Linked DNA regions of Lepisosteus oculatus. The protein of the gene in region 1 purifies or fractionates together with the protein of each later gene. This does not show direct contact. Links are inferred from orthologs where the notes say so. Each region holds a gene or a part of one and is shown in the gene's direction. Other genes may lie near its edges.

Region 1 (3,921 bases):
ATTGTGAAAATTAAAATATTTTAATTCAACATAGGCTTTTATGTATCATAATGAACATAGTGCAACAGGGATGACCGTCGACACATTCGTTGTTTTTCTTAACACTGCCAAAAACTTCTGAGGATGTCGAATCGGTTCTCTGGTCTGGATTTTCAGGATTTATAAAACAGTCGGCAGTTGCGTGTCCTTTGGGGGAAAAAATGAATGAATGCTGCCCCCTGTGATAGTGATCGGACAAAATCATTGGACAGAACCGTCGGTTAAGTGTCAGAATAAGGGAAACTTCTTGTTTGCTCATTGGTAGGAGCTGTAGATCAGGCTGTATGTTTGTCTTATTCCAGGATTCAGGGGGTTGGGTTCGACTTATCGATTCCCGGAATACTGTACGCGTTCTGTGTTTCTTTAAATCCCAAACTCTGCCCCACTGATAGTTTAGATATGCTTTAATGGTCCTTAAGAGACTTATAAAAACCGTAGTGGATTATGGTACCGAAGGATGAGAATCTCTCTGCGATCTAGCATTGGAGAAACAACGTGCCTTCTATTAGGACGTGTGTTCTTACTTGTCAGTCCCCACAATTTAATATTAAATAATCCAGGTGGGGCTGCACATTGGTGGTGGATGAGGGGAGTCCCCATTACCTGTAAAGAGCTTTGAGTTGAGTGTCCTGAAAAGCGCTATATAAGTGTAAGCAATTATTATTATTATTAGCGCGTAAGAGTTAATGTTTACTTTAAAGTAAAACCAAGAATGTCTCAACATTACAGTTGATCATTCGGAGATTCTCCTGTGGTCCCCGTGACTGGAGTAGCCTACATGTAGCCCATCAAAGCTGCTGTTGCTGTTCTTGAGCAGCTCTAGCAGATGCCTTGTTCTGTGAATTGAAACATGTGTTTGTGAAGCACAGGCTTTGTAATAGCTCTGGAAACCTAATTCTCCAACGGCAATGTTTTGAAAATTGTACATCTACAGAGACCTTTCTAATAATGGAACAGAAAAAGGATTCACAACACCACAGCCTTCTCATGAAAAAAGGTGAGGCTGTCTACTCAATTCAGATTAGGCCGATAAAGTCTGTTAATAATTAATAATAATAATAATAATAATTGCTTACACTTATATAGCGCTTTTTTGGACACTTCACTCAAAGCGCTTTACAGGTAATGGGGACTCCCCTCCACCACCACCAGTGTGCAGCATCCATCTGGATGATGCAACGGCAGCCATAGTGCGCCAGAACGCTCACCACACATCAGCTATTAGTGGGGAAGAGAGCAGAGTAATGAAGCCAATTGATAGATGGGGATTATTAGGAGGCCATGATTGGTAAGGGCCAATGGGAAATTTGGCCAGGACGCCGGGGTTACACCCCTACTGTTTTCGAGAAACGCCCTGGGATTTTTAATGACCACAGAGAGTCAGGACCTCGGTTTTACGTCTCATCCGAAGGACAGCGCCTGTTTACAGCACAGTGTCCCCGTCACTATACTGGGGCATTAGGACCCACATGGACTGCAAGGTGAGTGCCCCCTGCTGGCCCCACTAACACCTCTTCCAGCAGCAACCTTAGTTTTTCCCAGGAGGTCTCCCATCCAGGTACTGATCAGTTCTTTCTGTGATCACCCTGATTCCAGTTGATTGGTATTGCAGGTGAAGCTGGGGGGTCTGATTCTCTTAGGGTAGTGTATATACATTCTTTCTCATCTTATTTTGCTATGCTATGAATTCTTTCAGAGCGGCGTTGTGATTTCCTCCTTCTTACAGTGGAATCATACGTTCGGAGCATGCCCCCTCTGATCGCTGGGATGCTCTTCACTCGACCTGCTGTGGGGTGTATTCTCTTCACGGTTGTCAAATGGCTATTGTCCCCATGTTTTGCAGAAATGAGCTGTACGATAGACAGAGTTCTGGCTGACGCTAAAGCCCTTGTGGACAGGCTGAGAGACCATGACAGTGCTGCCGAGGTGCTGATTGAGCAGACAACCTCCCTAAACAAGCGAGTTGAAGCAATGAAACAGGTAACGCTGCCTTTCGGCAAACAGCTGTATGCATTTTGTGTCAGAAGTCGGGAAGCAACAGTGAATCACTGAAGAACAAGGGGGTGGATTTCTGTTCTCAGACCACTGTCTGAAGTTAAGGAGCTTTGTGCTTGTGAAATGCATGCCAAAGAAATAGATGAGAGATTTCGATCACTTGGTTGCAACAACACAAGGTGCCTACTAGTGCAAAAGAGCAACCACAAGTGAGAATAGGCCATTTAGCCCAACTAGCGCACCTGACAGTTAGTAGTGAATTGACCTCAAGATCTCATCCAGCTGTTTCTAGAAAAAAAACAGAGTATCAGCTTCAACAACGTGGCTGGGTGGCTTGTTTCAGACTCCCACTACCCTTTGGCAAAGACAGATCTCCTGTTCTCTGCTTTAAATACATTTCCACGTCTCGGTGCACGAAAGCGTATTCATGTTGATGAAATCTGAAGAGGGCTTTTTGAGATGCACCTTTGATTTGCCCTCAGTACCAGGAGGAGATCCAAGAGCTGAACGAGGTGGCAAGACACCGGCCTCGGTCGACCCTGGTCATGGGCATTCAACAGGAGAACCGCCAGATCAGAGACCTGCAGCAGGAGAACAAAGGTGAGACTCGCGTGCCACGAGACGAAACACATCAGCAGAATAATCATTCGTATCTTAGAGAACCACACCTTTTCATCTCTTTTCTTTCCTCTCCATTTGAATGTGTGGCTGCAGTCAGCACCATTCAGACCCGAGTGAAGGCTGATTCCACGCTGCTCAGCAGAAAGAAAGAGCACAAGGCTTCAGCTGCTGAGCGTTTCGGACACTTTCTCACCTGCCGTTGTTCTCCTGTGCTTTATAGCCCTACGTCCTCCCTCTTTCTCCCTCACACCTGAAGAAGGCTCAATAGCCAAAAAACTTTCTTCTTTTTTACTTGTTTCTTTGCAGCTACACAAACCCTTTCAATTGTTCAGATGTGTTAAGTTCTTCAATTTTGTGTAGTTTAAGATGAAGTGAAATCCCATTATTTTTTCCACCTGTCCATTCCTTAAAAATGTCCATTTACTCCTATGATAGAAGTCCTCAGTTCACAAAAATGATCTTCCAGTGAAAGTAAAGGCGTTGTCTTGGGTCACACCTCTTGTTAATATTAGCAAGAAAACAACAGTAGTTGGCAAAGAGTTGGGAAGATTAAGCATTGTCTGAAAGATGTATTGTAAATTGCGATTGTACCTTTAGCAGATTCCTTTTACTGAGTTACTCAAAGTAGTCAGCTTAGTGATTATTTCCTCCCCCTGGCCTACATCAGAAGAACTGAACAGTAAGTGTGTACATTGTAAAAGACTGCTTGTCGTGTCTGCTCTTTTTCACAGAACTGCGCACTTCTTTGGAGGAGCACCAGTCAGCTCTTGAGCTCATCATGAGCAAATACAGGGAGCAGGTCTTCAGGTTGTTAATGGCCAGCAAAAAAGACGACCCTGTCATAATCACAAAGCTGAAAGAGCAGCATTCCAACGTGAGTATCAGATTCACTGTTAGATTTAAAGGACTTTTAACTTTGTGCGGGCTTCTTAAACCTTCTTCTTAAACCATATGTTAGGCATTACCCTTGGCATTCACTTTTACTGATGGCTTTTTTACTGGAATAATCAAGTACCTGACCACCGTGCTGCCCCGGATGCCTGCAGTCAAACACTGTATAGAAAATGATCCTTAAACCCGCTGGCACCTGGAGTGCTTAAAGGTTGTTTTTGTGACTTGGTAACATCCATTGAGACCGATGGGGGTTTTGGATGTAGTATATACTGTATGATGTCATGCTGGATGACATTCATGTACGTAGCTGTGGTGCTTTCTTCAGGTGTCACTGGAAAAATACATTGTATTCTATTGTATGTACACTGGATT
Region 2 (3,921 bases), on another chromosome or scaffold:
AATGTAATAATAAAAATATAAAATATAATCTTCGTGGGCATGCCATGTTTGTCATGCACCATACAGGTTAACATGTCACTTTAATAATTAAAGGAACAAGCAGATGTTAATTCCATGCTGAAAAGCAGAAGGCGTGGAGCCTACTGCAGGTGTGTTATTTAATAATTAGGTGCATGCTATTTAAATATACATTTTCCCGCCGTCACTATGAGAGAAACGAGTCATCTTAGCCCGCAAACCCACACCACCCGAATTCCTGGTTTTTCAACCAGAGGGCACTGTATTTCCATCATCGCCTTCTTTTGTTGTTTTAATAAATAATTTTAAAACTCCATATCTTGATAACAATATATAGTTTTTCACTAATGTTGACCCTTTTTTATTTTTTTACTTGTTTTTGACTACGTGACTGTCTTACATAAAGAGCAAGTGTGAAGCACAAGTTTTGTTGTGAATTTTTTCCTAACTTAATGAACAAAAGCCGTGAACAAATTACATGACACTTTCCATATATTGAACTGTTTCCTTAATTTACTCCCCAGTACAGTCACTGTTGGAGATTTGTAGGAATCGGACAGAACCCAAATTGAACGGTATAATCGCATGTCCAGGCGATGCACTGAGAAAATGGCTACAGTGTTAATGGTCTGCGCTTTTTCTCTTGAACCAAAAGCTTTGCACAAGGTACAGTACGTCCAGCTGGACAGGTGAAACTAGATTTTCACTTCTGTCAGCAACTCGATCACGGAGAAAAGGCATGTGTGTGGTTATTTCATCACGAGTATTACATATTTGCGGTAGCCAGCATAAATGCAAGTAAAACAAAAAGTAGGAGTCAAATAATCATCCTTATTAATCATAATCTCCATTACAATATAGTAGACGACCGCACATTGCGTGTGCTAATTCACACCTTTGTTGTGCAAACTTGCATCAACAACGTGACCCAAGTGGACAAGATATTTGAAAAAAATGGTCCAAAAGTATGGTCATTGTACCGACCAGCAGTCATGCATTTTTTTTACATAAATACTACATCCATCTGCTTTCTAATTACTTTTTCCAATTCAGGATTGCGGGGGAGCCACCCAGTTACACCTAGAACCTTAGCGGGAAGCCAAATCACCTACAGCGTTTTTGGTAAACGGAAACCCGTGCGAACGCGGACAGAACAGACAAACTCCACGCAGACAGCAGCGCAGAAATTGAAGTCAGGGCCCCAGCAATACTAACCAATGCGCCACCATTACGGTTACCATTACATGGGTTAAAGTTTCCGTTTCCTTGGGGGGCCTAGGCGAGAACACCCGTCTATGAATATTAAGTTAATCTTCAATGGTTTATGGGTTTTTTTTTTGTACAGCCATCAAATTTATATCATTTCTGTCACAAATCCTGTGCTCGAACGTGCATATTATATCCTGTGCATATTATAACAACTGCACGTTTCGGGCGAATGTAATTGCATAAGCTTAAAATAACACATCCAGGTGGATGCTGCACATTGGTGGTGGTGGAGGGGAGACCCCATTACCTGTAAAGCGCTTTGAGTGGAGTGTCCAGAAAAGAGCCATATAAGTGCGAGCAATTATTAATTATTATTATTACTTTTGCACAGCAGAGCAGAGTAGAGGCTGGCCAACATTCTGCCCGGGAGTGAAGGACCGAGCGAGCCGGGAAGAGTGGCTCCCTCTGCCGGTGCAGGAGCGCCACTGGGCCTGGGAGCCCGGATCCGCCCTGATGTCAGAGTGACAGTGCTGACAAGATGGCGGAGGGCAGGAGAGCAGAGTGAGGAGGACAACACAATAATATATCGTAACTGCTCTAACGCTGATTATCATTTTAAGCGCTACTGTAGGGTGGGTTTCGAAACACGGGCGCCACCTTTTTGGACAAGCAGTGGTGGGATGGTAGCGGAGCACATGCACCCTTGTTTGTGTGTTACGGTGGGAGATCTGTCCACGGAAGACGAATTGCACACCAAAGCAAAAAGCCTGCGCTCCCTTTCGTGAAAAAAATAAAATGCCGAGGCACAGCACGTCACCGGCGCGTATATTTTAAAAAAACTGTCTCGGACTGTGATCCGTATGCGTTGATTTTTATTTTTTTATTTTTGTAGTTCATGTTCTGGGGGTAAATAGTTTGGTTTTCATCCAAACAAAAAAAAAGGGAAGGACCCTTCGGAAAGCTGGGTAAACCTGATCCGGGCTGCCAGAAGTCAGTCTGTGATTTTTTTTTAAATTTATTGTTTTCTGTGGATAAATTCTCGTATCTACAGGACATAACCTACAAATCAAAGAGGACAGGAATATACAAATTCGCATTTGCTGGGATCCGAGTTAGGAGATCGTGTTGTTGTTTCTTGACAAGTTCTCGGGCTCAAACTGCTGTACGCCATGGCTCACTCCCCGGTGCAGACTGGCCTGCCTGGGATGCAGGTAAGACATTCACCTTCCGTTTTCTTTAAATGTTCAACCTACTAAGTGGGAAAAACATTACACGACCCTGAAATGCGTACCGCGGCAAACAAGACACAATCGTTACTTAAAAACATCTGTAGCTTGCCAAGCGGCAATATTGTATCGCACTAGGCGGAGAACTGCGGTGAGACGTTGTGCCCAGCAGTACACGAAAGCACATTACTCGAAATCGTGGCGCTCCAGCCGGCTTCGACTCTGTAGAGATGTTGCTTTTGGTGATGCAAACATTTCCCCCTTCCTGCACTTTTAAGTGTAGGAGTAGCGAGGAAGTGGGGGGACTACGAGAGGCCTGTGAGACCTTACCCGCTCGAGTCCCGTGTTCTCCGGGGCACTGGAGTAATTGAGAGCCGTCCGTAGGGACAGGACCACCGAAGTGCAATGTGCATTGCTGTACTTAATTTCCTAGCGGAATGTTGCGTTTGTTAACAGCCGAAACATAAGAACACTAACAGGAAAAGAGGGTCTGTACAGCATTTGCCTTTAACGACAAATGCACTTTGCAAGAGTTAGATATAAGGACGGTAGATATGCATCTTTTCTAGGGGTTAAACCTTTGAATAGTTGAGGGTAGAAGAGACGCCCTTGAGGATGTTTACTTTCAACATTTTTTTTGACGATTTTGGCCTGTAAAGGAGAGCACTCATGCCGTATTCTTTGTAGCAGGATGGTGTACCGAGTGTAACCTTTACATAGAGCAGTAGAGTTTGCTTCGTTGTGGGGTTATTTAATCAATAAATATAATTTTTGATTGGACAGTTGTTCTATTTGGGACGTATTGTAAAGAACAAGGGTTAGATTAAAATATAACGTTAATTACAATGCTGTTGGAATTGTCAGCAGACGACTTGAAAATTTGAATCCTTTTGCAGTTACGCAGAAAAGGTGCCTCTAATTTAAGGTCGTCAGTGTCTTGATTCCGTGCACTTTTTTACTGTATTAACCAAGTAGATGATCACAGAGTAAATCGTCACCTAACTGCTATGTTAAATGCCTATTTGCTTTCGGCACCGACGTGGTAAAAAAAAATATTTTTAAAGGAATCACTTTAAGATAATATAAGACCTAAAGGAATACGAAATAACCTTTTAGTACGTTTCAGGCTGACATGAATGCATTACTGCATTCAGGCTGCTCAATTGCTCAACTACAAAGGCTGTTTAGAGATTAATGGATTTCCGCCTTAACAAGTGTTAAGTAGAAAATTCTCTCTAGTTATGGCTGTGAAGCTGTGATGTCATCCATAATTGACACATTGGCAAATTGTACGTCATTGGGGCCTCATTATGTATCTGGGATTGAATTGGTTGTTGAAGTGTTTCCCCCAATCAGGCTTGTATTCAGCAGAATTCCTAGTATTCTAAGAAATTTAGCTAAAAACGTTGACCGTTGAAGGGGGACTGAATGACTAAATGCTTTGCTTCTGCATGTCTTTACATGTGAC

Evidence for each region.
Region 2: the proteins of fgfr1op2 (region 1) and serine/threonine-protein kinase 24 purify together in Homo sapiens (affinity purification with mass spectrometry; 4 studies listed by BioGRID and IntAct, with this or other methods). This does not show direct contact. The link is inferred for Lepisosteus oculatus from reciprocal best matches to the Homo sapiens genes FGFR1OP2 and STK24.

The regions. Positions count from the first base shown.
Region 1 is NC_090702.1:54,195,413-54,199,333, reverse strand, and holds the start of fgfr1op2 (FGFR1 oncogene partner 2 homolog), read left to right. Parts: upstream 1-972; 5' UTR 973-987; coding exon 988-1,036; intron 1,037-1,882; coding exon 1,883-2,019; intron 2,020-2,516; coding exon 2,517-2,634; intron 2,635-3,386; coding exon 3,387-3,529; intron 3,530-3,921. UniProt on the Homo sapiens protein: May be involved in wound healing pathway.
Region 2 is NC_090710.1:6,273,426-6,277,346, forward strand, and holds the start of serine/threonine-protein kinase 24, read left to right. Parts: upstream 1-1,737; 5' UTR 1,738-2,396; coding exon 2,397-2,438; intron 2,439-3,921. UniProt on the Homo sapiens protein: Serine/threonine-protein kinase that acts on both serine and threonine residues and promotes apoptosis in response to stress stimuli and caspase activation.